7 linked regions of the Kluyveromyces lactis genome follow. The protein of the gene in region 2 interacts with the protein of the main gene of each other region in a pairwise test. Links are inferred from orthologs where the notes say so. Each region holds a gene or a part of one and is shown on either strand. Other genes may lie near its edges. The genes, in order: AIM2, APP1, RVS167, BBC1, NBP2, SSN8 and SLA1.

Region 1 (3,848 bases), on a different chromosome or scaffold from region 2:
CAAGGCTGAAATGTACTGGTGGTTGATGCCATTATTAGCATACATGTTCTTCAGATCTTTGTTTGTTGCCGTACTTCAAGAACACGGGAAACCTCAAGCAATGATCATTTTCGTTATAGAATTGGCATATTTCATTGCATTATGTTGGTTAAGACCTTACTTGGATAAACGTACCAATGCGTTCAATATCGTGATTCATGCGGTCAACTTGTTCAATTCTATCTTATTTTTATTCTTCTCGAACTTGTTCAGACAACCTACTGTGGTTTCCAGTGTTATGGCAGTCATACTATTTGTCGTGAACGCTATTTTTGCACTATTCCTCATGATCTTCACTATTGTTACGTGTGTGTTGGCCTTGGTTCACAAGAACCCAGATGCTCGTTACCAACCAATGAAGGATGATCGTGTTTCTTTCATTCCAAAGGTTCAAACAAAGGGTGAAACAGGAGAATTGTTCGATTTGGGTAGAGCTGCTATGCACACTAACGAACCACCTTTAAAAGACGAATTTGAAATGAAACAATCAAATAATTCTGCAAGATTATTGTTTGATGAAGATATCGACGACTCTAATACCACATACGATACTTCATCTCGTATTAGAAGATTTGACTCTTCGAGCGGAAACGAACCATTGCAGCCAAGTTCTGCCGTCATGGGGGACAATACCACGAGTTATAACCGTGTTCCAACAGCTCCAAGCACTACAAATTTAAGGAAACCGGAAAACTCCTTCTCTGCTAACACACAATATCAAGGTTTCTCTGGTAGCAACCCATATTTGAACGAAAACCCAAGCTACAACAGTTTTACCAGACAAACGAATAATAAATCTGACAATGTACCGTATTTGTAAGCTCTTACACATACACTCTGGTATTCAAGAACGCGAGCAATTGTATAATAATTCCAAGACAAGAAATCATTAAGAATTAAGATGTATATACATTCTATGAACATCTGCACCTTTTTGCATTCTTCCTCCCACATGTGGTTGCGCATATTAGCCATCGGAGAAACAAACAATTAAGGAAGCAATGAATAGTTGAACTAAATATACATATGTAAACTTACAACGTAACTTTAACATTCAAAAATCAAAGGAAAATGTAGTTACATCCTGCAAAAGCTAACAGATATATAGTTAAGCTTTTCAGATGCAATTGAAGAAGAATTTGAAGAATGAAATTTGGTCTTCGATGGTTTTGTCTTGAGCATATCTCACTGCTGGAATGCTTAAGTCACCTCTGACAGCAAACCCATGGGAAACACCGCCAAATACATTGATTTGGTAGTAGCTGCCTTGTTTTTTTAAAGCTTCTTCGGTCTTATATCTTAATTCTTCAGGGAAGATGTTATCAGTTTCAGCTGCAGAAATCAGCACTGGCTTTTTACCAACTGCTTCCACTTCTTCGATCTCAACGAATGATGGGTGAGCAAGGGCAGCTGCATCAGCCAAACCGACTTTTTCATTGATTTGTAATAAAGCGTATTTGGCACCGAAACAGTGACCGATAACACCAATCTTCTTTGGGTTAGTGTCCTCCTTCAACTTGGTCAAGAAATCTTGGACTAGACCGTGGGTCTTTTCGGCGCTGTGCCTTTCTAGCCAAGACTTGAAATCGAAAGAGCCGTCCAAAGCTACGACTTCATCGTTAAACAAAAAATCTGGTACATAGACTCTGAACCCAGCTGCAGCCAATTGATCAGCGATTAGCAAAACGTTGTTAACCTTAATACCGTAAATATCTGTTACAATGACCAAAACATGTTCATTCTTCAAGGATTCGGGCCCAGCCACATAGGTCTCGAACCCATAAAGACTAGTAGTGGTACCAGCTGGGGTACCTTCATGATAAAAACCTTGAGCGCAGCACTTACCTGGAGGATTGGAAGCCATTTCTTTTCGTTGTACTTCTTGTTGGGCAATTCAAGTATTAGATACGAGCACTCTTGAGCATTCACATCCAACAGGTATACTGAATGCTTCTCATGACTTTTTCCTAAATCCAGTAAAAAGTTCTTCCCTTTATATACATATAACGTTCTTAAAAATAGGAATTACTCCGCAAGCAAGATTTGTTCCGGCAGTTATGGTTGATAACATGAAGACACGCGCACGGAAAAACGATAGGACTTGAAGGTTGGATTACTAGTTTATAAATCAAAATAGCTAGCGTGAGCTTACTAATTGAAACGTTAGCTCCGTGTCGATAAGAAGGTTTCAATCGAAATTCGTTGTTCTCTACCATTCAAACGATACAATTTTCAGTTTCGAACTCGAAGGCAAATGTTCGGTTCATAATAATAAAGCTAGTGTCAAAAAAGAAAAATTAATGGGTGAATAAAAATCTTATAAAGACCTTACACATCTCAACACTACTCTGCAAACTGTAAAACTCATCTTCTTTTACTTGATTCTTCAGATTTCGGCAAGATGGTTTTTTGACATTCAACCATTTGGAAAATCCAAAATTGATCGCATTGCCTTTATCTTGGCATTTCTATAATTGCACTGTAGAAAGTGGTTACAGAACGGTAGTGTCGACGCGTGTGGTGTCGATCTGAAATTTAGTGACACATAATCTCCATAAGCACTGCTAGTATATACTTGAGGTGCTCTTTTGTACATCCTTGACAATTGAGTGGATAATGGGCACAAATGCAACGTTGAAGGAATTGGAAAAGGAAGTAGAATATTGGAGGAATCTTGCTCTTGGCATAGAGCCTGAGCAGGATCCCGTCAGCAATGTATCCACGACTATTCGGACATCTGTTGCTAGGCTTTCGGCGACAAAGGATCTAGCTAAGACCGATGGTATACGGCTAAATTTTTATGAGTCGTTTCCTCATCTCGTCACGAAGGGTATTATTAGAGAAGATATTGGTCCATTCGCTGTCAACTATATGCTTTTTCCTGATCCATATATTTCAATATTCATCAAATTTGTTTTCCAAACTCCGTATCGTAAGACGCTGAACACTTATTTGGGGACTCCCGATTCTTATCAGGAATTTAATGTGTCATCTATACTCAAAATTCTTAAATTGAACCCATCTGCATTCGAGAAATTGAACCCTTTGAAGAAGAAGAAAGTGAGTGCTTTCATCGAACAAATACTTGCTCAAAATCAGCCAGCCTCAGAAAATTCCAACAGCGAGTTGTTTTTAGCAACTTTGAACACGATGACTGCTCCTAGATTTATTGAGGATAAATGTCTCTATGGACAATACTCTCCGATACTACTGGCTTATATTGGAAGAATACAGAATGATTTGCCTTCTTTACCCAATATTAGACTACTTTTGGATAACTTCTACCACCACATTTACCCGATATGGCCATGTATCGATATCGATCTCTTTGAAGAAAATCTTAACGAAGTGATCCACATGGATTCACATAATCCAGAGCGGATAATAGTGAATCCCGGTACCACTAATATCAAAATGAAGTTAGTGAACATCTCTATTCTTTATCTAATACTTCAACTATCCATATCACATTGGAAACTACGGCTTTTCGATCAAAGGGCTATGGAACAGGATGTTCAACATAAATACGATGGCGACAGGGCTTGGATCGAAGGGTTTGCAGAACTGGAGAAAAAATTAACATCTTCTGCCGCTGAATTAGTGTCGATATTGAACATCTATCAGTCAAGAACTGAAGAAGTTATTTCTTGGCACATGCTGCTTTGGAACATCCTTGCTCATCAACCTGACCTATGTAGTATATTCTACGATTCAACATCCGAAGGTGTTATTGGCATGATGGGACCTTTGGTTTCTGATCTGGGTCTTGATAGGGATCCATCACAATTTCTTGAACCGACTGGAAACAT
Region 2 (4,830 bases):
GTTGAGAAGTGTGATTTTGTCCAAGCATGGTAATCCTAGAACAACCACTGAAAAGGTTTGTAAATATTTCATCGAAGCTGTCGAAAACGGTAAGTACGGGTGGTTTTGGATTTGTCCTAACGGCGGTGATAAATGTATGTACAAGCACTCCTTACCGGAAGGATTCGTATTAAAGACTAAAGAACAGAAGAGGTTAGAAATGGAGGCCTTTGAGAAGAAGCCAAAGATCACTTTGGAAGAATTCATCGAAACCGAAAGGGAACGCTTGGATAAGAGAAATTTGACACCAATTACAATGGACAACTTTGCTGAATGGAAGAAGAACCACAGAATTGAAAGGCTCAATCTAGAAAAAGAGAATAACTTGAAGAAAAAACCTAGTGGACGTGAAGTCGTGCTGAAGAAATATACAGAAGACAAGAGATTTGATCTCGTCGATGAAACTGATTCCACGAACGGTTCAGCGTGGGATTTGACCGAGTTCACAAAAGCATTAAGAGATGAAGATAGTAATGGATCTAGTGGAATCAAAGATTATGGTGATGGTAGTAATCCTACTTTTGAACTGCCTAGCAGAGATGGCCCATCTAAACAAAGCACTACACTTACTGCCTGAGAAAAAGGACAGCACTTGCATACACGCTGTATATTTCAATGGTTGGTTGTCTTCATTTCAAAAATTCTCTTTGTCATTCATACATAAATATTTTGTCATTAAATATAGTTAATACTCAATTTGCAAAGAGAAATATATATGTTCTAACTTATCATTTTCCAGTTTCCTATCATAATGAATCAATTTTATTTATGCTATCTTCCAAGCACAAAATGGGATCATTGAAAAACATGAAGCTAGCTTTAACGTCGTTTTCTTTTAACTTTTTTACAGCAACTTTAACTCTTTCATTCCAACTTTCAGCCTTTTTATCAAAGAACTCAGAATATGTTCCATAATCATTCTGCGAGGATGGAATTGAATATACAGCGTTGTCCATACTGCGCATCTTTAGTCTTGTTGGTTTTCTAGGAGGTAAAGGTGGTTGTGTGCCAGACGATTTAGATTCAGAAATTTCACGCTGAAGAGCATCACTCAAAACTGGCTTCTTTTTTAGAACCTGTGGAGGCTTTTTTTTGACAGGCTGTTTTTTATCCGTTTTAGCTGGGGCAACATCTGAATCTGAATCTGAGTCAAATTGGATTAAATCGGGGATATCATCTTCTTCCTTTATCTGGTCTAAATAAAACTTTTTAATATGATCATTTAAAGCTTTCATAACTCTTACGTCATTTTCAGATTCATCACTCATTGAATTCTTGCAACATCTGATGTATATTCCAATAATCTGTTTTGGAAATTGACTCGCAGCCGATACGTAAGCTTCGAGGTCTTGCTCACCGGAATCACCTACCAGAATGAACTTTTTGTTCGGGAAATCATTGCATATTTTCAATATTGATGCAAGCTTTCTCTGTGCACTGGATTTCATAATACTTGAGAGTAAGTTACCAGAATACTGTTTGAGGAACATGGGTCCTAACGGATAGTTTTCACCAATATATTCCGATAATATTGGGTATATCTGAGCAGGGGCATTTGATACATAAAAGAAATCAACTGCTTTGCTATCTTTTAATGTCGTATACCATAATGGCATATCTTGAATTTTCCATTGTTCAAATCCGTTGACAAAAACGTTCAAAAAGATCGATCTTTTATCTCCAACAATACCTGTGTGTTTTATTGTATCATCTATGTCACTAATAAGTCCAACTCCACTGTTTTCGACATAAAAAATCTGGCAATCTTGGACTAGCCCGGTTTCCAAGCATTTAACTTTTGCACCAGCTGGTTTAAATTCGGTACTGAGTAAAATATTAAACCCACCAGAGTTATCAGAGACCGTTATTTGATCCATCTTATCATTTGATCCGTTATACAGCGTAGTTAGAAGGTTGACGTTCGGGAGATGTTTATTCATGAACCCCGCTATTCTTTGCCTTAAAACTTGTTCCTGTGTCAAGGGAGCAACCCCATCTCCCATTGACAGTTGACCTGAGCTTGTGGATGATGACGTCGTAGATGAACTGTCCAACGAGATATTAGAATCGTTTTGCAAAGATTCTAATCTTTGTTCAACGTTAGGTGGAGGATCGTTTCTTAAAAACTGTTTGCAAATAGACAAAAGAATACTGTTTCTTTTGCTTCGTTGACCGGTAGAATATATCAACCCTCTTAATTCTGTGACATAGATACTATCCGATAGTTTTCTTGAGTATGATGGGTAACAAAGCAGCTTAGGTGGGAACATTTGAAACTCTAAAGCCCTTGCCTCTGCAGGTGACATGTCATTCCCGTAATAGTTCTTCAAAGAGTTTTTGGCAGCATTGAAGTACGAATCCTTGGTGTGCTTCACCATATTATAGATTCGCTGTCTCCTACCATACGGCACGTTAGCACCCCATGAGGATCCATCAGCAGCTAAAGACGGGTCCATAGATATCTTTAATTTCGATTTCAACGCTTTAAGAGTTCTCTTTCTACGCAGTTTCTTATAAATCGAGACAGATCTTCTCTGATCTTTGAAAACACTATTCAACGGCAACAAAACGGCAAATATTTTAAATACGGTGGGTTTCCAACGTTTGTGTATTGAGTTGTGACTTGTAAGACCCTTTTAAACAGTTCGCCTGTAACTGTCCACTGATAAACGATCCGAGTCAATAATCACAATTAAAAAACCAGGAGAAGAAAACAGAGATCAAAGGAAAGATAATAATTTATCCCTTAACCGAATGCAGAAAATATGATTATTTCATTCAAAGGCACTTATTGAAGCGTGTTAGACCTTGTTAAATACAGTAATTTCAAGGCAAAAACCAAAATGCGTCTCTATATCATGTCTTCATCTGCATGTTCTTTTTGTATAAAGCCTGGATACTAAACCTTTATAAAACCTTAAAAAAATAATAATAAAGATTCCACATCCCAATAGTCCCAACAAAAAAACAAGCAACAAGAAAGAAAATGAAAAATCAAGTTTTGCTGAAATACTGCAACAACTGGAATATGACTTCCTTGAACCGTATGTGCTGCACTTCATAAGTATAATTAAACAAGAATATAACCTGCATGTAAAATTCGGGTCACGTGAAACACGTGACCCGTATTTTCTACCACTCGAATGAAAATATTCTTCCAGCTTATATAAGCGTTGATTATCTTCCGATCCCCACGCTACCTTCTTAGAGATTTCAGCGTGGGCAAACACAACGGTCGCAGATTCCCGATCCCACATTAAAGTATGGGTCACAAAATGGCTCAGCTCTTCCAGCCCTTCCCTTTTCTCATCACGCTACATGGGATGCATTAGGAAACCGGTAGCTCATAGAGATTAATGATACCATCAGCTGCGCAATCATTCAGCAACACCGGCTTTTAGTTTATGTAATTCATGAAACTAGGTTGATGCAAAACTACTTTTTTTTAGTTATCTCCTCTCCTCGTAGTCATATTGAAAAATGCCTGCAAAATGCTTTTTAAGCGATGAGTTATCAGAGATCACGATAATATAAAGATAGTTGTATTTCTATAAATTGGTTTGGAAAGCGAAAGGAACAAGGTGTTGGTGAGAACGCTTTTTAGGGCTTCACATTGTACAGCGCCTACTTCTTCTGTTTTCTTTTTGATTATCTTTTTGGCATATAAGAGTAACATATTTGCTTTGCACATAAGCCAAGAATTAGAGCGAACTTCCTAAACAGGTACTCCAATTTGCTTCGATAAAGATCTAAATAGGTTGGTTTTTCCGTGGCACAACGTTACTGAAATTCCTCTACTGATCGACAGTATTTGAATCCTAGAATACACTATTTATAAAAAGACCAGGTTGTCTTACAAACGAGAGAGGAAACACTTGGATTAGCATATAACACCACGGGAGATATTCACTCGAATAATAATCTCGAAGTTATTAAAGATATTAAAAGTTACATGAATTATAGATTGCATAAAACTTGCAGCACGATATGGGGTTGACTGTAGGAGAAGCGATCTGGGCTTCAGTGAAGCCTATTATTAAGATTTATATGATTATAGCGACTGGGTTTGGTTTGGCTAAGGGGAATATCCTTACCGTCGCAGCAACCCGGACATGCTCAGATATCGTTCTAACGGTCTTACTACCGTCGCTATCATTTAACAAAATCGTTTCAAGTATTGATTATAGGGATGCCAAGGATGTCGGTATCATTTGTTTGACGGCAGTCATGATATTTGGTACAGGGCTTTTCTTTGCATTTGTAGTTAGGAAAGTGCTTCCCGTACCGAAAAAATGGCGTGGTGGTATATTAGCCGGTGGGACATTCCCAAATATCAGTGATTTACCAATCGCTATATTACAAACTATGGATCAAGGTCTTCTTTTCACAGAAGAAGAAGCAGATAAGGGTATTGCTTCTGTGATTATTTTCTTGGCCATGTTTATGATTTGCATCTTCAACTTAGGAGGCTTTAGACTTATAGAAATGGATTTCGAGTACGCGGATGAGGAGAATGCCTCTATTCAGACACCACTCGAACCACCTGCGCAATCTAATGCATCTCAGTTTCATCTTCAAACTGATTCACAATCATTCTGTTCAAAAGAAAACGATCGTGCTGTAAATTCCATCAATTCTCAGGAAGCTGTTACTTCTCCAATACAGCTTGCTGAGGATAATGTAATTTCAAGGCGCCTTACTAATGCAACGGCGGCCAGTGCCCAGTCTCTCAGTTCATCGCTAAGGTCGATTGACCTAAGATCTATGCCTCCGGAAAATGTTCACGATTTA
Region 3 (4,169 bases), on a different chromosome or scaffold from region 2:
ACAATGTAAACTTGAATGCCGGTACCAATGGTAAAAGATATTGGATCCTTACACTTTAAACCGACTTTGCTCCTCTGTTCGCAACTGCTATTATTAATTTTTTTTCTTTTTTTGGTAACCTAAATATAAAAGCTCCAGTCAGCGCAGTTACGTTACTATCACTCTCTCTATGCGTCTCTATTTGGTTCCTTCTCACACTTTAGTCTCTGAATATGATAATGCAGCCAGTTTATATCTCTTGGTGATGTGCTTTACTAGTCCTTCTTTCTCAATATATCAGTTCCTCAGTTTCTGTTATTTGGCCCTTTAAAAACGTTCGAAAATCAGAAAGAGAACCAGTACTGGAAAATAAAGAAGAAAAAAAAAATGGGATTCCAAGGAAATATAAAAATCAGAAAATTAGAACCCTGGAGCTACAATACTAGATAAAGAGCACTAGTACTGAGATAATAACTTGGCTAAAATACGGTCTCGGCTATGTTTTGCCAGGCTCTTTCTCTTATCTTTAATACTTACTTCTGCTTTTCTTGTCCTAAAACTTTCCGTTTCATTCTCGCGTTTCCTAAGATTGGCTATCTTTATTATGTTTGAAACTAAATAAAGTTCATCAATGAAAAATGAGCCAAAAACTGAAAAAGGATCGAGAGGGCTTCTAGAAAGAGACGTGCAAGGAGGAAGTGGGATAGTGATATCCAAAGTATTTTGAAGGGAGGGGGCTTTCAGGCTCTGGTTGTGTGCACTGCAGTGGGAGCAGTTGTGATGGTGGGAGCTAATTGTTGCATTGAAATACATAGCTGGTTTTAAGTATATATAGAGACGTATCTCTTTCTGTTCCTGCAGTAAGGCTTAGTGTACTTTCTCATGGAATTCTTTTCCATCTTACCTGCTGTGTGCTTGGAAACCAGTGTGATTTTAGTGGCTGGCTCTGCTACTGGTGATGTGTAGAAATATAGGGGCATGTAGACAGGGGTTCTGACGAACCCCTTTCGTCTCCATGAAGCAATGTCTGACTATTGCCAGGTGACCAAATATCGTCAATTCCGTCGATAGTGATGTGCATTCTGTATCCTTTAAAAGCTATGGGGCATTCTTGAATTAAACAAGGTTAGAGTATATAGTAACTACAGGCTAGGAGAGCTTTTCTTTTGCTTTATTATTTTTTTCAAGTTCAGTCTATACACAGCAGAAAGGGAATGGAAAGTGACCAAGAGATTAGTTTTCTTTTGTTTTCATTATTGTTTCGATAGTTCGACGTAGTTCCCAGGGAATACACCTTGGACGCCATTGTAGACACCGACCCACCATCCTGCTGCATCGGAACGATCCACGACTTGGATTATGGCACCAGCAGGGAACGTCAAATCACCTTCGGCTTGGGCCGTGTAATCGTATAAAGCGGTACATGTCTCCACTCCTGCACTAGTGGGAGGAGTGTATGATGCCTGGGTCGCAGTGGTGGGCACCGAATTGTATCCTGCGATACCAGCGGCACCTGCAACACCTCCGATTGGATACTGTTGTTGCTGTTGCGGCTGTTGTAGTTTTGAGTCATAGCCCATCTGTTGTGGCTGTTCAGGCTGACCGTATGTTTGGCCGTATGCGGGTGGGCTCATTGGACTTCCAGGACTTGAGTCGTCAGTAGCACCATATCTTCTTCTGGTTAAATCTAGTTTGGCCTTCGAGTATCCCAGCTTGAAATGAGTAATGGTTAGTGCATCTGTTTGCTCTTCAATGTTGCCTCTTTTAGCTTGGAATGCCTCCAAGATGTCAGTATCCAGGTCAAAGTATGGGATCTTCATGTCTTGGAACCTGTTGTATAAGGTGTAGAAGATATTCAATTGCATGTAGTAGAATGAAACAAATAATGGTTTCACGAACTCTGATTCCAATTGGAAAAGTATAGGTAATTCAGTTTTCAACATATCGTTGTAGTAGTCGTATTCTTGTTGCATTACGGCGACTTGAGCCTCGGCTTTATATTTTTTCTCCTCATCCTTTGGCGTTGGATTCTGTTTTTGTTCATATTTGTTGTACGTGTTCAAGCTCCTATCCAAATCTAGCTTTTTATGGTTTCTCTTGGTGGACATCTTTCTAATGTAATTAATAATGTTCAAAAGCTCTTGTGCTGGTTTAACAATTTTCTCGTCAATCAGAGTTAGATCAGGCTTTAAAGTAGCTTGCAACTCAGAAACAATTGCACTGTACTGCTCACTCGCTTCAATACCTTCTGGATTGTCTTCTGGCACAGCGGCATTGGGATCGGACATCTTACCACTAATTGGCTTGAAAATTTCCGACATTGCCTTAGAAAATCCAATTTGATGCTCTAGCATACCGTTCACGGCATTGAAATATCTCTTTGACTCATCGCTCAACTTCTTCGTTTCCGATTCCAATTCCTTGAAACGACGATCAGCATCCTCATAAACAGGATCAACAGTCTGCTGACCCATGTTCAGTTTTTGCCTAAAAGACTGGGGTGCTCTGGCGACAGCTTTTGTAAAACCTTTGAACGACATGACTCTCTAGGGGGAAAATATATTGATTGTTATTTGCTTTCTTATTCGCTGTATACGCTCTAAACTTCAAAACTTAACGCTTTTTATCTGTTTAAATTCACGTTCTTCGTGTTTTTTATTTGAGTGCTCTCTCTCTTTGCCCTTATAATAAATTAACTTTCTTTCCCTCGACAAAGACGCTTGTTTGTCCTTCGAAAGATTAATTTAAGTTCAGATTTGCTCTAACAGACAACTCGTTGACACGCTGATTAGATATATATACCGCTTCAGTTGCCTTTCAAGTTTGCCCCTTTTACATGCCCTTCCAAAGTGATGAAATTGAAATTGTCCAAAGTTTGAATTTTTTTGAAATTGTATTGTGCATCGGCAAAAGCGTACAGAAAGGAAAAAGGCTTGGCTTAGTTCATCGGAAATTGGCCCAATGCATTTGAGCAGTAGGCTTGTGAAAAGTTAAGGGGATGGTCTATACTGTTATTAACGCCCATTGGTTCTCCTATTGGTTGTAATTTGAGTGCGTATCACTCAAATATGCTGCAAGCTTGACCTTGTTTTTTTTTAGGCCTGCTGACTCTAGGCTAATAGTCAATGTACCCTTCGGTTGAGAATAGTTGTGGAGCAAGGTACATAAAGTGCAGCAAGATTCTTGGTAGGATATAAGTTAGGTATATTTTTACATAACGGTTGTTTCGTTATGGATATTACAAGTAGTTTCGAGAAGTTACTGTCATTGGAGATGTTGTTTGTCCTCTTTTCATTTTAATGTCTTAATATAGTAAATGACACTTTAAATTACCGAATGGGATTTAAACCATTTTCTGACTCCAAGGCTCGAACAAAGATTTACAAACTTTAAACACTTGCTGTAATATCCCACCGATCTGTTCATAGAGCGGCGTTCTTACAATCCGTTGGACAGCAAAATCCAGCATATATTCTCTTAACCTGGTACCGTATTATGGTGGACGATATTGTACGATCTTCCTCACCGCAGCGAGATAGCAGTGTCGAAGATGTGTATTCGGATTTGTACTCCACTTTCTCTCAGATGACCACCACCACTGCAAATGATATTGAACAACGACCATACCCATTCACATGGAGGACGGGTATTATGTTTGTTAGTTCGACAATTGGTGGGATGCTTTTCGGTTACGATACTGGTGTAATTTCTGGGGTTTTAATAGCAATGAATCCAAAGGATTTAAACTTTCATAGTTTGGAAATTTGGCAAAAGGAAATAATCACTTCTATAACATGTGCTGGTTCATTCATAGGATCGATAATAGCATTCCCCTTGGCTGACAGATGCGGTAGGAAACACACGTTAACGGTTTGTTGCATCATTTTTGCTGCCTCATCGATGCTAATGGCAGTTTCTTACACTTTCGAGATGTTAGTCACCGGTAGGCTGGTCGTTGGTATAGCCGTTGGCATCGCAGCTCAATGCATTCCAATATATTTAACGGAAATTTCACCGGCAAAGATAAGAGGCACCATGCTTACGTTAAACTCTATAAGTATCACTGGCGGGCAATTTGCGGCGTATGTCATTGCATATTTCATGATTGACAATGACCACCCTCAATCAACTGCAGCCTGGCGATATCTCTTCGCCCTAGGATCCATCCCAGCAATTGTATTTCTGTTGAC
Region 4 (5,310 bases), on a different chromosome or scaffold from region 2:
ATTAAATCAGAGCCATTATCCCCTTTGAAAGACGCACATACTGAGTTTGAATTAATGGAATACGATGCCGTAACTGATCAATCAATTGTATTATGCAAACCTTTCACGGGAAGAACACATCAAATTCGTATCCATTTGGCAAGACAGGGACACCCCATTACAAACGATCCGTTTTATAACCTTGATAACTCAACGTACCCATTACGGTCAAGGTTTATTATTGAGACCCCAGATTGGACTCAACTAACAAACGAAAGAATCGAAAAGCTACGGAAGCGGTTCGAGGTTGAACTGGATGATGTCTGGGATCAATTGAATGAAAATCAAGAACGATGTCCTGAATGCGACGAAGAAATGCCAAAAGATCCAACTCCAGAATCGTTAGAGCTATATCTACATGCTTGGAGATACAAAGGTTTGGATTTGGAGTTTGAAACAGATTATCCCTACTGGGCGAAGTTCGAAAATGAGAAACAAGCTTAACATCAAGTTTTGAGTTGTTTCTTTATTCATGTATTTAACTTTTTTAGTATCCTTCTCAATCAATATTGTATATACTATATATTTATTCAAATAGCAGCATATGTGTTCTTGCATTTGTTCTTCAAGAGGTCAATTTGTTTTACTTCCTTGTATCATTCTTACCAACCAATGTCCTTGCGATGTACTGGCTTGGCCACCTTTAACTTTCCTTTAGTCAAGTTTTCAAGTGGATACATAGATACTTTGCACTCACCACCAAGCTCTTCAATCACTGATAAAGATTGAGTTTCAAGATCCACAGATTTTAGAATGGCCACAAACGGCGTTTCTATTCCCAAGCTGTACGTTAAACCATCGTCAAAGGTAAATTCAGCGTTTCTTGCAACAAGTATCAAACCTGGTACCAATTTTCCTAGCGCAGCTTCATCTATTGCGGTGTTATAAGCATGTTCAAAAACGGTGATACCGTAAGTTCTTTGAGCAATTGGTGGGACTAGATTATCTATTGGACCCAATATTTGAGGAATAAATGAATGACAAGCTTTACCAACACATTTGTTACTGTTTTCGTAAATTGTTTTGATTAACAGATCACTACCAGTACTTTGTGATGAGGAGGGAATATAGTCCTGATGGGAAATTGCTGTCTCAATTGGATTCTTTGGATCATATACAACATATGCTTGAATTTGAGAGTAATCTTCGAACAAGAACTGGAAATCTCTGACAACCAACTTATTTGTATTCCTTCTTTCAACTATGTGATCCTGAGATTCCCAGATGTATTTTACTTTGCTTGGTTTAACAGTATCAGCCTGAACTGTCTTAGTTAACCACCAAGTACTTTGCTTTGAGAACTCTAATTCTGGAATAGTACCTGGTTCAAATTTCGCCGTAGTTGTCCGTCTTAATGGCTGGAAACTGGCCGGAATTTGTGGAGCAGCAGATGAAGGAGTGGCTGGTGATGAGTTTGCTGCACCTGGAATAGTCTGAATTGAAGGTCTTCGTTGCGGTGCATTAGAAGGAGGCAATGGTGGAGGGCCGCCACTGCTTGGTACTGGAGGAGCAGGGGCAGCAGCGGGCTGTTTTGTTGGCAGTTTCTGCTCAGTGTTTTCGGTTTTAACGCTTAAAACTGGTGCTGGAGCCTTTGTTGGTAATGGTGGTACAGGTACGCTTGAAGGAACAGGAGGAATTGGTGCACCTGTTGGAATTGGCGGGACGGAAGGAGCAGATGGAATTGGAGGGGCTGCGGGCAATTTTTGTGGGGCGTTAGTAGCTTGTGGAGTTTGTGGAGTTTGTGGGGATCCCGGAGAAGTATCAATTGTATAAACATGAGTGGGCCTAATTCTTTGAGGAACAGTTGGCGACGGAGCCTCCTCTTCTTCATCTTCCACTTTCTTAGTAGTTTCATCTTCGGATTCATATCCAGAAAGGCCTTGACTTCCCTCGGGTACTTCATCTTTATGTTGGAAGTCTGGGTCTTTGTCGTAATTCACCGAACCTGTAATAGCAGGTTGAGCATCATCGACTCCATCTACAAAGCTAGATTCGCTTTCTTCGTCAGCTTGATTTTCTGGGGTTTCGGCATGACCAGAAGTTTCCACAGCAATTTCTTCAGTCTTCTTCCTAAACATTGGCAGCATCGATGGGTCGGCAAATGGCATGACAGGAACCGCTGTTGGAAGAGATGACGTTTCAGTTGGACTTTCAGATTCTTCCTTTGGTTTCTTGCTTTTGGTTGGGGTCTTCGAAGAGTCAGCAGAAGGCATTGGCATTCCAAATGGGTTGAAGTACGCATTAGGCATACCGTATCTACTTGCATTTGCTAGTCTTGCCATCTTTTCTCTTAAAGCAGCACGTCTTTGTTCCTCTTCATTTTCGTCTTCAGAAGATTCATTTTCATCATTATCATCACGATCGTCATTCTCGTTAACTGACTCCTCAGGAATAGAGTAGGTACGCTGAGGGTGAGAGCCAATTGAAGCAGTATCATTAGGAATTGGTGGAGCTGTGTGAATGCTAGAAGTACTGACATCAACTTCTGGATTTTCAGCATCGGAATCTTCAATAACAGAGGCATCATAACTTTCCCTTTTTTCAATATTAACTGGAGAAGTTGCACTAGCAGTAGCAACGCTGCCGGTTGGGGACGACACACTAGAAATACTTTTTTTCCGCTTATGCAAAGTTTCCGCCTGTTCCTGTTGTTGTTTCTGCATATGCTGTAACATGGATATCCTTTGCTGCAAGGACATTTTAGATTCCGACTTAGCCTCCTTTACCAAATCATCGCTATTAACAAAACCACTCCTCTCAGTATCACCAGAACCTTCTTGAAACGACAGACTATTTCTCAACTGTCTGACATTATCCTGAGAAACCTTTCCCTTCTGGACTGGTGCAGTTGCAGCTGCAGCATTTGGATTGACAGTCTGTGTTTCCGGAATCTTGACCGGAGTTTCCACATTTGGTTTCTCCTCTGGCTGCTTCTCTTGAGCAGGCTCACTAGCAGTTTCCTTCAAAGGTTCACTAACAAAACCTTTGGGGAAAATACCTTGCTTTGTTTTACCATCAGCATCCTTAAACTCACCAAAGAACCACTCATCGTCTTCTATTTCAAGCACCGTAATGATCTGACCTTTGGAAAATGGTAAATCATCCTCAAAATCTGAGGTGTATGGAAACAATGCCTCGACCTTAAATGGCACAGACATCTTTAACACGTAATCTAGTTTCGAGAACTGTTCTTCTAGTAAGCTGGTCCTTTTATTTCACTCGCCGAGTGTTCTTTGTTAAAGGGGTGGTGAAAAGTTCGCGATATAAGGAATCGTTTTAATTTCAAAGGCTTTAGTAACATTTTTCCAAACAATTTTAAAGGATTAGATTTCACCGAAAGGTAGATAACGAACGAATGATAGACTTCACGTCAATTGAAAGGCATATATGAACGTTCAATCAGCAGGTGAGGGTTGCAGAACTTATGACTGATTGGATAAGGCATGACATTGAATTCGAATACTCGTTTGGCGAGATTCATTCGATTTTTAGCGTACGACTATGATTCGGAAATTGATAGAAACGCTTTGTATCGTCGCATCGTTGGAGTTATTGGTGTTAATGGGTTTATAGCATTGTTAAAAAAGCACCGGAAGTTAACGGCCAGTTCATTATTCGATGGTTTGCCTATCGTTGTTGCTATACCGTTACTGAGAAGGATAATTCGTCAAAGACATGCCAGCTGGTTCCTGGGTTTAACGATTGGTCTCTCGCAGCTCAAGGCTAAGCTACCGCATTGGATTGTTTCATACTGGGCTGTAGAATCTGTTGTAGATCAAATCAAGCTCTGGGTTGATTATTCCAGTATAAGCGAACGCCGTTGGATTCTTCTCAGGCAATTGGCAGCTAGTCTCTTGATACCAATCCTATACCACAGAAATCAATCGAAGGGGAGATTATACAGGATATTATTCGAGACTAGAAAACCTTGGAAGGACTTCCTTTTGTTATTTGTCGCATGGAATGTCGTCAAGACTTATAAGAATGTGAAATCCATCCTTTTGAAAGAGAAGCTTAAGAAGAATAAAGTGAATACTTCCTCAATGACGTTCGATTCAGAGGCAAAGGAATCTCAGACACAACATGGTTCAATGACAAGGATACTCATGCAAAGGTTAGAAGAGTTAAATGAGTTATCCGATAAGAAATCAAGCGGGTCGGTCAAAGAACGAGTGTATGGTTATTTCTTCAGTGACAATTTTATCAAATGTGTAAAATGGACGCTCTGGAGACAGGTGGTGATGTTAATCTTCAACGGTCAACATTCCAAATGTCTAAAGCCATTACATAAATCGATCATCATCATGTTGTCATTCACTTTGCTGAGCGACCCACAACATTTAGATATTAACTGGGAGCTACTCAAATACTTGGGGAGATCAACGTTATCTCAAGAACTTGGTAGGATACCACATTATCAAAAACCAATCATTTTCGCTGCCCTTAGTCTCTCATATCTAACCAGGAACCCAATTGCCTAATAAACAGACTGATTTGTTCCTAGTTTGATTTGTATCAATATGCGTGTGTTCCTTTTCTAATTAGAGTCTTTTCGTGTCGGTGTGTATATAAATGTTACGCATATGTTGATCTATACACAGATCCCGTATACATACGTATATATATATATATCACGATTCGTACGTTTCTAACGTTAAGAGCACTTATTTTTGACCAGTGGCGCCTGGAGCGGATCCATTTCCCTTCAACCTTTGTAGGATTTCCTTGAATTTGGATCTATCTCTGCCATCTACAATGTCAGCATCCTCCAAGTTGATCAACTGAAGAGCTTTGTCCCAAACAGTCAAATCTTGAGAGGCAAAAGCATGAGTCTTAGCAAGGAATTCTTCAGCTTCTTTTTGAGTTTGATCAATTCCCTGTTGCTTCTTAATGTTATAGTTTTCATAGAAATCATCAATATGTTTTGCAGCTTCCTCTTGTAAGTCTGCCTTGGCCTTATCTTCAGCTTGATCTCTTTCAGAAATTTCAAGCTCACGTCTAGCTTTCCAGTTTTCCAAAGCCTCGGACTTCCCTCTTACAACAGGCTCAGCAGAACTACTCTGTGGTTCTCCGAATTCGTCGTCGTCTTCTTCTTCTTCTACCGGGTTCGATACACCTTCGACGTCTTGTGGTTGATATGATGCTGCTGCAATGGCATCTGCTTCATTGACAGATGTTCCAAGAGTTTTTGAATCAGAGTCGTCCTTACTTAGAAGCTCGGAGTCTTGCTCTGTCTTGAATTCATCACCTAAGATCTCGGCTTCTCTTCTT
Region 5 (3,564 bases), on a different chromosome or scaffold from region 2:
CAGTTGGATTCCGACGGAAAGATAGGTGGTTGTGCAAAATTCTTCACGTTGGGTCAGATTACGGGTGGACCAGATGGAATTTCTATCATTATGAAAGGGATTGAAAACGTATCAGCTATCGCCGGAGATTCTCTTTCTCAAGAACAAGCAAACATGATGGTCAATGGGCTACTTGCGATGATAGAAATATGGATGACTGATCTTTGTATGGAAAAGGAGGCAGAATCAGAATGCGAAGAGTTAATTTCAAAGGCAATGGAAATTTCAGAAGGTAAGTCATCGGAGGTTTGGTCAGTGCTAGGTTCCATTAAGATTTCTCAACAAAAATTCGGTGAAGCTTCGGAAGCATTCACAAAAGCCTGGGAATTCTTCCAAATGAAAAAAGAGTCCATTGAAGAACAATTAACGGAGGAAAGCGTTTCCAGCCATGCAGAATATCTTGAATTACTACAACCAGCAATCTCGTTAGCAAAAATGTGTATTGAAATGGGATTATACGAGATAAGTTTACAAATAGTAGCAGCGATCAAAGATATTGACGAAGACAATTTGGAGAGCTATTACTTGGAAGGGTTCACATATTATTTGATGGCTAAATTAGAACAGTTTAAACAACAAAACCAATCATTACAACTATCTCCTGAAAATATCTACGAATTCAATTCCCACGTCCAAGAATTACCTTTGGATATCAAGAATGAGTCATTGAAGGACATTATTTACGAGGCGCGTGTTTCTTTGAGCTTTGCTTCTAAGTTCAGTGAAAATGCGGAGTCCGACGATGAAATGGCCAAGGAAATAATCCAAGGAGTCCATGGCTTGTTGAATGAAATTGGTGGTGCTCTTGATATAACAGAACTAATGAAACTCAAACGTGGAGAGGAAGTTACAGAAATTGATGAAATCGAAATCAACGAGCTTGAATGATCTAAGAATGCAGGCACGGGCTTCATGTTAAACTGCTTTTGATCAATTCTTTCATTTCATCTTAACGGGACTTTTATTGTAACGTATTACTAGAAAAGTATTTAATTAATATTGCAGCTAATATATAGATATTTAGCGCAGAAAACAGAATGCTATAGATCCAATTTCTCCTTGATATCTTTCGCGAGTTCTGATACGTCGCTCTTTTCATTTAACGTACTGCCTGTTTTTCCGTTTTCAAGAACAGTTCTATTATCATGAGAAACACCATTGTTGTTCGTTATATCAACTGATACTGAATCTTGACTGGGTCGCTGTATACTTCTGTGCTCTTTATCACTATGTCCTTCAGCTTCCTCGTCATCTTCTATGTCTTCCCAATCATCATCGTGATAATTAGACATGCTCTGCGTTATCATTTGAGTAAGATAAAACGGCCTAGGATTCTCATACCTACCGTTGTCTTCGCCATCGTCTTCAATCAACTGCACATACTCTTCCGGTACCAATCCTGTCTTGGATCTATCGTGATTTTCTGCCACTAACCACCCTTGGCCATGCTTGTAACTTATATATACGACATCTCCTTCTTTCAACTCCAACTCGTTATCATTTTCTGGGACAAAAGCATACATCGCTATGGCTCTCTTATTAACGATATAATCATCTGGTAGTAACACACTTTCTCTGTTCCCACTCAATCGAAGGTTGTTCTGATCTTCATCATCTTCTTCAAAATAACCAAAATGTAACGGATTTGATTCGTCATATGCGTAATCTTTTATCGATATGTACCCAACCATATCGTCCTCTTGGTCAACCTCATATTCTGACATTATGATAGTTATGTCTTCTGATGTTATTAGTAAATCTCACCGTCTTTGATCTAAGTTCAAAGCCTCATTCAATATGTGTTCAGTTCTATATTTCTAGTGTGAACGAATGCTCCACGGGAAATGATTAAATGATAAAGTCCTATGTCCTCTTAGAAAAGTTTGGTATGAAATGTAGCTTGCTATATGTAGTTGCCAGTACGACGTTCGTAGTTCTTATTTCTTTGGTACACGGTAATTGTTAACGTAGATTCGCATTTGAAGTTTCAGATTGCTATTTTTTCATATCAAGGCTATAAAGATTGAACATCAACGCACATTCACGAGATTGTTCACAGGCAAAACAGGTGAGCTAATTTAACTGGTACCTGGGATGGTAGATAAGCTTACGTTAGTTTCAGTGGAGTGCTACAGATTGAATATAATATTGACTGTGTTCTGAAATGACTACATCGCACAGACCTCAACTAGAGGCCAGGAATGGGGCAAAGAATATAGAATACATTCCTACTTCGACGCAGCACGCTAGACTTTTACCGGGGCACAAAGAGGTTAAGTATAGAAACACGAAGAAGAGGGTGTTGAATCGTAAAGTAGAAAGTACTCCGAGTGAGGAGGCTAAGAAAAGAATCAAAATAACTGGAGCAGAGGAATGCTCGAAAGATGAAGAGATACAGGCCACGGATAGTAGCGATGAGTACGAGGAAGAGGAGGAGGAGAGTGAAGATGAAGAAGCGCTATTAGAGGAGTGGAATAAAGTTAAGCAAGAAAGATTGGACAAAAAACTGAGAGAACAGCGTGCTGAAATCACAGCAGCTCAAAATGAAGAAGTGACGAAACCGCAAAAGCATGGTGGTTGGAGATCTAACACTGTATTTGGACGTAAAGGTACAGTCAATCAATCGGCAAGTATATCTGAACATAATTCAAATGGGAAGGGAAAATATGTCAATAATATTACTCAAAGCGAATATCATAAGGAATTTATACGAAAGCATGTAAAATAGTTTATGTTAAATATTTTTCTATTATGGAGAATCAATCGACAGGTGTACGTCAAAAACTTAAATGAAGTCTATATATCTGTTCTTCCGCACTATTTACAGGATGACTTTGTATAATTATACATATATGCATTAAGGACCAAAATATTTCGAATGATTTCAGAATTGTAAAACGTCATCGATGAAATTTCTAACGATGTCCTTGTTGATGGATCCGTTAGTGCTGATAAAATCAATAGATGAAGCTTTGCCTCCTAAGCTTCCGCCTTCAATTTCAGAGAGTTGTACCAAACAATCTTCTTTGTACTTGAATCTTAATAAACGGTGTTCGTAGCGATGCAAATAATTGTATCTGATCTTTTGCGGTTCTTCCATTCCTTCTAATTTCACGTTCAATTCAAAAGAAGGAGCAATGCGGGGCTTCTTCAAGCCTCCGAAAGAGAAATTACTTTCCTGTAAGAATTTCCTGAAGCTTGGTTGTTCCCTCTGTAGCCAATCGAAAAACTCTGAAGATTCCAAATCTTCTGGAAGTGCATCCACTGTATCTGTCACTGTGATTTTAAAGTCATGAGAAAGTGTAGGAGTTTGGATACAAGCTGAATTATCCGAATAAGTGTGGATGCATCTGACGGTCGAAGTATCAGCGTTGTTATTTTCATCCAAGGTGAACCAAACTTCCAAAGGAGAAACATTAACCTTGTGAGAAACGTCCGCTAAGTTGGGAACAAATTTCATTTGAACCAAATATAGATGCTGATCAACTGAGAATAAATCGTCCTCCACATAACCGTCTTTATCCC
Region 6 (3,968 bases), on a different chromosome or scaffold from region 2:
ATACAATGCGGGAACCTCACAGAATAATGAAATGACAGACACTCTGCTTCTGCTTCACTAAACTTTTGGACTCGCTTTCTTTTGAACTTGTGCTTCCACTTTTCCTACTTCTACTCTTTATAAATACACGTTAACATTGTTAGTTAAGATTTGATTTCGAGTTTCATGTTTAACTCTCGAAATCATATTGCCGTTCGTTCACTTTTTTTTTTCTTTTCTGCGCATGAATAGCTCTAGATTATTTGGCAGATATCGCTTCGCCAAAGATATTTTTGGTGTTAAAGAGAAATAGAAGTTGCAAATGCAGCTCTTGGAGTGAGGCTTCTACTTGTCCTCTAGTTGACTGTGATTGCGAACTAAATTTTTTTTGTGCGTACAATGTGTATATTTCTCAGTGTCTGCATTTCTGTGATTCTTCCGTGAGTTGTCCAATATAATTTCATTTCGTTCTTATGCGATATATCCTTGATGCGTGGTTGATCTTGAATGCTACGTAATTTGTTATGTATGTACAGGTGTGAACTGAACGAAATCTTTTCGGCTTCAGAATCACTGAATTGCTGGTGTTTGTTGACGGAGGTATAACTCGTGTAGGAGCGCTCTGATCCGCAGTTCATTGTATTTGTCCCAATGGTCGTATAGTGATATGAGTTCTTGAAGGATAAACATCACTTGTTCCAAATTAACTTGAGTTTCAGCGATGAACATGTTGATGTTAGCACGCTTTGTACTGTCCTCTGGCTTGTGAATGATGCAAGACACTGCAAATAGACAACTTATGGCGATCACGTGCGGTGAATAGAGTAAATGGACATCGGTCGTATAACTATCGTTAATCAACGACCATATTTTCTGAAGCTCATCGTCTGAGAGTTTATAGTTGTACTTTTCGGATGATAATGCCTTCTCGATCTGTTCTAGAGACCGGTACGGATGGTGTACAATCAAATATGATTGCAATTCCTCGATTAAATAAAACTCAAACTCGGTCACTTTTGTCACATCCGGTGGAATAAACTCTGGCCATAGAGACCTCGCCTCGTTGACTAGCGTTCTTATATGCTGCGGACATTCTTCCACTTTGCAAGCCAAATAGATGCAGGTGGTGATTAAAAGATACAGGTTCACTTCCCTGACACTAGCTCGAAGCAAAAATCGGCTCAAATAAACATGTGCTGTAACAAGTGCACACTGCCGTATATTGAGCCTCCTGCCCAACTTCATTATAAGGAAATAGCAGTATATCCTCAAATTGTAGTCTCGATCATAATGCAGATCTCGCTGTGTAACCGGAATGTTTGTCGTCACCTGCTTGTTCGCCTTCGAATCGTGAATCGTAACATTCAAACCTTGTGGGAATAATTGGCATTCCAACAGCCAGAGTTTCTGCTTCTCCTTAGCCAAGGATTCCCTAGTATACTTCCACTTGTGCCTCTGACTCGAATCCCAGTATGAGGCGCTCATTTTGGAAAGATAATCTTCTAGCTGTTCAATGAATAAGGGGGGGAAAGGTATTTTTTATCCTCCAGTGAAATTTGTACTGCCTTTTGTTGTCGGAATCCTTTGTTCAAAGTACCTAACCCGATTCGGTTCTTACTACCTTACCGTTCGCTATTCTTCAATTCATCATCAAGTACATTATGATAAGCTGACCGTTGCAGCCCTAAATTTCAGGTCGTTAAGAAGTCGGGTAACCTTTTTGAAAATTTTTTGGAAAAAAGTTAAACATTCAACTATATGAACCAAACATCAGCACTTCAAACACTTACTTTTAATTAAATGTTTTCTAGTGTTGTCTTTTGTTGTTGTTTGTTTCGTAAGTCGAGGGTTTTGTAGTCGAAGAATCGTCACTGATCGAAGCTTACATAAGGAACGGATTTTATCTGTTCAATTGAAATGATATCATTTCTATAGCTTTGGGTAGAAAGTCTCCGACCAGTCCGTAAGCGGAAACGTAATGAGATTTAAAAACTTTTCAAATGTTTAAATCAACTCATTAATCGTGTTGGTTTTCTGTCACGGTTTCTATCCAGAGGCTGTTTTAGAAGCCTCTGTGTCTTGGGTACTGAAGTATTTCTTTACTTTAAACGAAAGTTATGACGATTGCCCGAGCGTTTTTATCTCTTTTTTTGTTACTTCTGTTTACAGGGGTGATTAGGGAGGAGGTAGCTTGGGTAACCCAATGGAGCTTACTTTCTCGGCTCACGAAACTCTCCATCCTTTTTTCAATCATCAAACAGCTTGAAGTGGATTCGTTTCAAATTTATTTTGAACTTTTCGATACTTACGCATAGTCAAATATGCCAAGCTGCCCTGATTATTTATTATTGTATCATTTATTGCCTTGGATTATACTCAGTTGAGTATCCTCTCATATCAAGTGCTACAAGGAAGAATTTCAAAAGATCCAGCCGTCATCTTTCCCTCTTCATTTTAGGATTTTTAACGTGATGAAATAACAATGCAACATAGAGTCAAGCTCTGAGCTTATATAGCATGGACGAGACTTGCTTTTTACAAACGTACTGATCAAATTTCCTTGATGATAAAGAAGAGTTATTGACTGCGGTCTAGAGTAGTACTGTATGTATCTTCTCTGTTTTGATTTTTTCTTGAACGCTGTTAGCACCGCACCATCTAGTATGAGTCCGGCTAACCATTTGCTATGAGTTGTAAACATGTGTAGTACTAGAATCATCTACTTGTTAGTGTGGTTTTCCCATCGAGTAAGTATCTCTTGTATTTCTTTGCTTTCCATTTACGGAACTACTACCTACCATTTCTATCTATCAGCTGAACTACATAACGTGGCACAAAAAGTGATCTTCCTATCCATATCTAACTTTGTCTCAAGCTGCTCACCTCTAATGTTACATAGCTATCTTCTATTTCTGCCCTGGAGTAAAAGAGGCTTTTTATTTCTGATCGTGAACTGATCATCAGATGGTTTTCTACTTGTTACTACCCATAAGTTCTAATGCATAAATCAACATGGTTGAATAAATGTTGCACCAATTCCAAAAGGACCATGAATCAACCACGATCTTTGGCTCTGTTTCGTATGGGAAACATCCCCATATACAGAGATCATTTTTCAATTGACCGCTATACCGTAGAATCAAATGCGTGTACATTGCAATAATGATGCATGGTGAATACCAGTACACAAAATTCATTATTCTTCTGAAACTTCTACGTTCTTTTGTATTTCTCTGCAATGTCGGTATAATACGTGTTGCACTGTAAAATATCAGTAGTCTGAACACTAAATTTATTACAACTGCTGGTATTAGACTTTCTTTGGCCATCTTGAATGTCACAACGAATATTTCTTGGATACTTATCGGTACGCTTTTAGTGAAATTCTTCACTGAGTTCCACAAAGGATTTAGAATCCATTTACATTGGTCCATCATTTTAATATATTTATGGTTCCGAGGCGTGTGTTCTACTATCTGACTCCAGATGGCGCGATAATTTTTAGTCATGAGTTCCAAAAGATTATCCTTCTTGGGCAAATTAGCCTGATGGATTTTCCATGTTTCCTTAACGATATCGAATATTTCGTCCATGGCATTCATCGCCATCTTAGGACTTATTTCGTAAACATTGCGAACCATATAAGCAAAAAACAACGAGCTTTCCATCACTGACCCTGATCCGTTTATACCATATAATCCGATACCACAAACAATTGAGAATGTGAACCCAAGTAGTGAAGCACTTGGTGTGGAGAGTTCCCACATTGGAGTGACATATATTCTGTAAAAGTAAAATAGTGATAGCGTAATAATTCCCCCACTGATCAACAAACTCAGAATAACCCATTGATTACTTCTTCTAGACATCTTGAGCCATCTCTCTGTCTCCCCTATGGCTTGAATGGCGAGAATGGTGAAAACACCCTCCAGTAGAGTGAACACTGGAGTCGAATGTATCAATGATAGCTGCCATGGCTTCACCATCAC
Region 7 (5,285 bases), on a different chromosome or scaffold from region 2:
CCCAGAATTGAAGTTTGGCTGGATGTTCGCTCCACCTGTGAATTGGTTCCCAAAGGTAGTAGCCGGCTGTATATTCGCACCTCCTGTGAATTGGTTTCCGAAAGTGGTAGCAGGTTGTAGATTAGCACCTCCAGTAAATTGGTTTCCAAAAGTGGTGGAAGGCAGCAAATTAGCACCTCCAGTTAATTGATTACCAAATGTGTTAGTTGATTGCAATGGCATTGCACCGGGCATTTGCGTGTTGAAGGAAGTAGGAGGTAAGGCACCACCAGTCCTTTGTAAAGGCATTGCGCCTCCTGTGATACTTGAACCAAAGGTTGTAGCGGGGAATGCTGTTTGGGGTTGTACACCAAACGTCGTTTGTGGCATCAACCCTCCAGTGTTCGCTGGTATCAAACCGTTCGCAGTCTTTTGAACTGGCAAGACAGTACCTGTTGGTTGCATACCAAACGTTGTTTGAGGTGCAATCATACCTCCAGTCCTTTGCAGAGGTACTAGCCCCCCAGTCGGTTGGAATGGCATTAAACCGCCTGTTGCTACTGGCATCATAATGAATCCCCCTGTAGTAATAGGGATTAGATTATTACCACCAGTTTTGAATGGATCTAATGGAACCAAAGAAGTACCCGTCTTATTTGCTGACAGAGGGGTTTCTTCCTTTTTATTCGAACCGTTAGTGGTGACAGATTCTAGATGCTTGACATCTGGAGCTGGTGTTTCTTTCTTCTTCGGCTCTAAAGGTTGCAAATCAAGCAAATCTTGAAGTGACCCAGAGAAATCCTGAGCCTTGTTGGAGCTGTCGCTGGCTTTAGCAGCAGGTCTAACAGTCCATGCATCATCATCTCTATTCGATGAATTACTATCTGGTAATAGATTATGAGATACGCCTGCAGATGCGGGAGCACCTGTATGGTTAACCTTCAAGGATCCATCGGCTTCAGTAAACAATCCAGTTGATGGAGAAGCCTCCTTTGTTCTGCCAAACTTGTTATCTAGATACTTCATTACTCTTAAAATGTCACCTTCACGTAGACCTAAGTTTCTTAATAAAGAAGGCTCGATATCTGGCAAGATTTCTTCACTAATTTGCTCTCTTTCGAAATTAATGGTGTAGCGTTGACAATTGTTGACATCAACACCAGCATTCAAGAAAAATTCGAACCAATCGTATTCGGGATTCTTGGAGCTCTTTGTGACAGGGTGCGTTTTGCTTGCTTCACTGCCTGGTCTTGGTGGTTTCACAGGTGGCAGTTCTTTGTCTTGTGCACTCCTCAGCTTTTCTCTTTCGCTTTCCAAGAGATCTCTAGCCCTCTTTAACTCTTTAAGTTCTTGCTCTCTTAATTGTCTATCACGTTCTCTTTCTTCAAGTTCCCGTTCACGCTCCTTAGCCTTTCTTCTTCTTTCACGTTCTGCGTTTACTGCACTACTGTCATTATTTGAACTCTTGGGTTTATGTTTGAATTTCTCCATAGACATACCCGTCAATCTTTCCACATACAAAATATCATCTTCGGACAATTTGTCTGCAGCAACAGCAATTTTCACACCGTTCACCTTATGTAAGTTAACCTTCCCATCGACACAGCCCAAAAACTGTGCTTCAACTTTGAAAGTACCACTTCTGTCTACCCAAATTCTAACCTTTTTAGGATCAGGGAACTCTTTATCATCAGTTTTCTTCTTCTTGGAGAAAAAGCTCGAAGTTTTAGACTTTTTCTTCGATACATCTTGATCAGCATCCTCTTTCCAGCTGCCAACTAAATTTTGAGTAAAGTTAGAAGTGTTAGATCTGGATCTGGTCTTAGACTTACTCCTAGAAGGGCTTTCATCAGAAGGCCTTGATGAGCCTGATCCGCGTGTTTCGACAAATTGTGCGGGGACAATGCCTCTTTTACCTGTTTCTACAGATTCACACATATACCAGTCTTTCGAAGTCCTGTCATCTAAGATATTAATGTAGTCGCCTTCTTTAACGGTGAGTTCATCAGGAGAGTTAGCGAAAAAGTCATATACAGCTTTAGCTCTTTTCTTGGTCATGGCAGGCCTTGAAGCAGCTTCAACTTCACGTAACCCAACTGCTGTCTGGGCACCTTTAATCTCACCCAAGACGCCCATGATCTCGTTAGCCAGATCGTTAGAGCCAGTATGCAATTCCAAGTTAATGTAAGGGTTTTTAAATTCAAGAAATAGATGCTTTTTTTCATTGTTATAGTTGATCAAATCTTTAACTGCCCATTCTTGATCCACTTTTGTCTTTGCAGAGAAGAAATGAATACGTTCAGCAGAAACAGTCAACGTAGCTTTACATTTCTTACGACCATCAACCTCACTAACAGACCAAACATGTTCAGCGGTCGAGGCTGAAGGTCTTCCATTTCTAGATGGCAGTGGAGGTTGATCTTCCTCATCGTCATCGAAATCGTAATCACGCTCATCATCTGAATAATCTCTAGTTATTTGGGAAGTTCTATTATTGTCTCTTGGGTCATCACGATAACTTGTTTGGTGTTCAGTATTAGAAGGTCTTTGAGGCATTGCTGGAGGTTCTGCTACTGCTGACTCACGCTGGACTTCTGTGGTTGCCGTATCGTTTCTCTTTGGAGGTGGAGGGAGCAGTGAAACATCAACTGGCATAGTTGTATGAGACGCAACGCCTGCATTTGATGCTGGTGGTGGTGTCGATGTAGATGGAGCTCCTGGAGCATCTGCTGTACTTGCAGCGCCAGCAGGGGTAGATCCGCTTCTGAATGATGGTTGAGAATTGACTCTGTCCAACCTCTGAGGTGGAGCTGGAAGTTCAGAAAGGGGTAGAACAGCTGGGGCTTGGTGCTTAGACTGTGTAACTCCTGCAGCGGGACCTCCAGCTTGCTGCGATTGTTTTTCCACGTAATTACCTGGCACAAACCCAACCTCTGAATTCTTGGTATTCTTCACCAAGAACCAATCTGCATCCCTATCGTCATACAATTGGAACGTATCGTTTTCATGGAATACCAATTCCTCATTGGCATTCTGAACTTGTTCATAATCGTAAAGCGCAACTACACTCCCAATCACTGGAGCCTCTTCAATATATGTCTTGGGGACCAAACCTACGGGTTCATCCTGATCAGATCCGATAACTCTCTTCTTAACGGTCCACCAATCATCAATGCTAGATTTTTCTAAAAGATACAATAGATCACCCTCTTTGACAGTTAGTTCCTCATCTGTTTGCGCAGAATAATCGTAAAGCGCCTGGTAAACACCCAAAAACACCGTCATTGTAGGTATTTAAATGCGTCAGGAGCCAAGTAAAAGGACCTATAAGCTTCCAGATTGTATACAAGGCCAAGAGGATCCCTATACAAATCGCCAATCAAATTTAATTATCCAAACTAAATTGAAATCAAAAACTAAAAGAATGCAGGAATACGAGACACTTCCTTTTTGTCGTCTCTTTTCGGTATTATGCTATTTCCTTTTATTTCTCCGTTTTGATTGGTTTTTTTTTTTCTCTTTTGCACAATTGCAATGCAACTCGCGCACTCTATCTAAACCTCAAGAGTTTGTCTGGCCTTTCTAACCCAATTCAAGCTAAAACTTGTTTATACGAATTACTTATATATGTATAGACATATATATATTTATATATGTTCTAAGTATATTGATAGACTTATTCAATTATTTTGGGCCTAATCTTTTCTCATTTTCTGATTCTCTCATTTTCACTCAGAAAAAGAACAAATGAAAATACCGACAGCACGCAGCACCGGTTCCTGGCAGTGTGGTACAAGAACCTGCAGTTTTCGAATTGTTTTTCTGTGATCCTTTGGTTACCCGGGGTTGTGTTTCGTACATGATGATACGGTGATCCCGGATCTGGAAATAAAAAGGGGTTCTTGCCCAGTTCTAGTCATGTGACTGCGAATCGCAGAGATCTGATAGAAAGAAGAAAAAAAAGAGATCATTTCTATATCACGTGATTGATGTTTCAATTCCATCATGGGTTCAAGTATCGTTATTGTCATCATCATAGAAGTCATAAATAGAGCATATATACTGTTTAGGCGAACGGAGGTTAAGTTTATTTACTCGCTCTCATACGATCTAGCTCTTTGTCAACACGAGCTTGTAGATTCTTCTTAAGTTCAGGCATGAACCCTAAAATAAATAGTAATTCGTAAAGGATGAAGTATGGCGCTAGCACAAGACTTTGCACCAAGTTATCGAGAAGCGCAGGTTTGCGCTTCTCGAAAACACCGTGGCCAATGAACTGGAAGATCCAACTGATCACAAATAATATCCAGGCAGTGGTCTGTGTCATCTTAATAGTCCCGTCGTTCAAAAATTTGCACGTCAGTGCCAATATCAACGACGCAAGGATTCCGGTACCTACTCGTAACAGTATATAGAACAACCCAAATGACAACGCTAACAAATGAGTCAAGGTATAGCCATTCCAGATCTTAACGTCGTTCAATATACGCATGGATGTAAAGAGAATCGTTGGGACAAAAATGCTATGAATTAACACATTCCCAGTATTGTTATGATAAGCTTTGTAGAACGCTAGTTGCGTCTCTAGATCTAGAAGACTGGGACTCATTCTGAGACTTGGTAGCGCAAAACCGTAACACGGATGCTTTGCTTGTGTTTTTTGATGTTGCTGTTTTTTTTCTTATTGATTGCATTATCTCAGTTGTCTTCCCCTTCCTTAATATTTCATTTCAATTTTAACTCTAATTTCAACTTTTAAATAATTTTGGTGGCAAACACATCAACGCACTACAGTTACCTTTACCAAGATATACGAAGAACCTGGCAACTCATTGATCTTCCTGTAACTACTGAATCTCAATCGTCAATTGGGAATCCCTATAACCACATATCCTATGTCTGCTGCAGGTTACGATCGTCACATTACTATTTTCTCTCCAGAAGGTCGTCTTTACCAAGTCGAGTATGCCTTCAAAGCGGCCAATCAACCTAATCTAAACTCAATAGCCATCAGGTCCAAGACCGCCTCTGTGGTAATTAGCCAGAAGAAAGTCCCAGATAAGCTTTTAGATCCTAAGACGGTTAGCTATATTTTCCCAGTGGCAAGACATATCGGGTTCTGTGCCACAGGACCGGTTCCAGATGCCAGAAATATTGCATTGAGATGTAAAGCCGAAGCTAGTGAGTTTCGTTATAAATATGGGTATGATATCCCATGCTCCGTACTAGCTAAAAGAATGGCCAATTTGTCGCAAATATACACACAAAGAGCTTACATGAGACCATTAGGGATTATTTTGACTTTT

Evidence for each region.
Region 1: the proteins of APP1 (region 2) and AIM2 interact in a two-hybrid assay, tested with the Saccharomyces cerevisiae proteins (2 studies listed by BioGRID). The link is inferred for Kluyveromyces lactis from reciprocal best matches to the Saccharomyces cerevisiae genes APP1 and AIM2.
Region 3: the proteins of APP1 (region 2) and RVS167 interact in binary tests that used the Saccharomyces cerevisiae proteins (3 or more experiments, as listed by UniProt). The link is inferred for Kluyveromyces lactis from reciprocal best matches to the Saccharomyces cerevisiae genes APP1 and RVS167.
Region 4: the proteins of APP1 (region 2) and BBC1 interact in binary tests that used the Saccharomyces cerevisiae proteins (3 or more experiments, as listed by UniProt). The link is inferred for Kluyveromyces lactis from reciprocal best matches to the Saccharomyces cerevisiae genes APP1 and BBC1.
Region 5: the proteins of APP1 (region 2) and NBP2 interact in a two-hybrid assay, tested with the Saccharomyces cerevisiae proteins (2 studies listed by BioGRID). The link is inferred for Kluyveromyces lactis from reciprocal best matches to the Saccharomyces cerevisiae genes APP1 and NBP2.
Region 6: the proteins of APP1 (region 2) and SSN8 interact in a two-hybrid assay, tested with the Saccharomyces cerevisiae proteins (2 studies listed by BioGRID). The link is inferred for Kluyveromyces lactis from reciprocal best matches to the Saccharomyces cerevisiae genes APP1 and SSN8.
Region 7: the proteins of APP1 (region 2) and SLA1 interact in binary tests that used the Saccharomyces cerevisiae proteins (3 or more experiments, as listed by UniProt). The link is inferred for Kluyveromyces lactis from reciprocal best matches to the Saccharomyces cerevisiae genes APP1 and SLA1.

What each region holds. Positions count from the first base shown.
Region 1 is NC_006037.1:302,961-306,808, forward strand, and holds AIM2 (protein AIM2), read right to left. Parts: upstream 1,904-3,848; coding exon 1,157-1,903; downstream 1-1,156. Other genes in the region: flavin adenine dinucleotide transporter FLC2, read left to right, coding at 1-859; KLLA0_A03399g (fungal specific transcription factor domain-containing protein), read left to right, coding at 2,656-3,848.
Region 2 is NC_006039.1:1,165,289-1,170,118, reverse strand, and holds APP1 (phosphatidate phosphatase APP1), read right to left. Parts: upstream 2,496-4,830; coding exon 786-2,495; downstream 1-785. Other genes in the region: translation machinery-associated protein TMA46, read left to right, coding at 1-616; putative ATPase ECM3, read left to right, coding at 4,027-4,830. UniProt on the Saccharomyces cerevisiae protein: Mg(2+)-dependent phosphatidate (PA) phosphatase which catalyzes the dephosphorylation of PA to yield diacylglycerol. May play a role in vesicular trafficking through its PAP activity at cortical actin patches.
Region 3 is NC_006041.1:279,893-284,061, reverse strand, and holds RVS167 (amphiphysin), read right to left. Parts: upstream 2,520-4,169; coding exon 1,233-2,519; downstream 1-1,232. Other genes in the region: CIN10 (Cin10p), read left to right, coding at 3,475-4,169. UniProt on the Saccharomyces cerevisiae protein: Component of a cytoskeletal structure that is required for the formation of endocytic vesicles at the plasma membrane level.
Region 4 is NC_006042.1:1,351,155-1,356,464, forward strand, and holds BBC1 (Bbc1p), read right to left. Parts: upstream 3,198-5,310; coding exon 642-3,197; downstream 1-641. Other genes in the region: pseudouridine synthase PUS6, read left to right, coding at 1-483; PEX35 (Pex35p), read left to right, coding at 3,483-4,520; clathrin light chain CLC1, read right to left, coding at 4,704-5,310. UniProt on the Saccharomyces cerevisiae protein: Involved in the regulation of actin cytoskeleton.
Region 5 is NC_006040.1:1,429,874-1,433,437, forward strand, and holds NBP2 (adaptor protein NBP2), read right to left. Parts: upstream 1,764-3,564; coding exon 1,080-1,763; downstream 1-1,079. Other genes in the region: ACL4 (Acl4p), read left to right, coding at 1-927; U2-type spliceosomal complex subunit CWC15, read left to right, coding at 2,204-2,767; SLS1 (Sls1p), read right to left, coding at 2,924-3,564. UniProt on the Saccharomyces cerevisiae protein: Negatively regulates the high-osmolarity glycerol (HOG) pathway through its negative regulation of the HOG1 kinase activity. Mediates the binding between the PTC1 phosphatase and the PBS2 MAP/ERK kinase (MEK).
Region 6 is NC_006041.1:737,262-741,229, forward strand, and holds SSN8 (cyclin-dependent protein serine/threonine kinase regulator SSN8), read right to left. Parts: upstream 1,465-3,968; coding exon 550-1,464; downstream 1-549. Other genes in the region: ICE2 (Ice2p), read right to left, coding at 2,952-3,968. UniProt on the Saccharomyces cerevisiae protein: Component of the SRB8-11 complex. The SRB8-11 complex is a regulatory module of the Mediator complex which is itself involved in regulation of basal and activated RNA polymerase II-dependent transcription.
Region 7 is NC_006037.1:445,524-450,808, forward strand, and holds the start of SLA1 (cytoskeletal protein-binding protein SLA1), read right to left. Parts: upstream 3,265-5,285; coding exon 1-3,264. Other genes in the region: 2-hydroxy-palmitic acid dioxygenase MPO1, read right to left, coding at 4,067-4,588; SCL1 (proteasome core particle subunit alpha 1), read left to right, coding at 4,875-5,285. UniProt on the Saccharomyces cerevisiae protein: Component of the PAN1 actin cytoskeleton-regulatory complex required for the internalization of endosomes during actin-coupled endocytosis. The complex links the site of endocytosis to the cell membrane-associated actin cytoskeleton.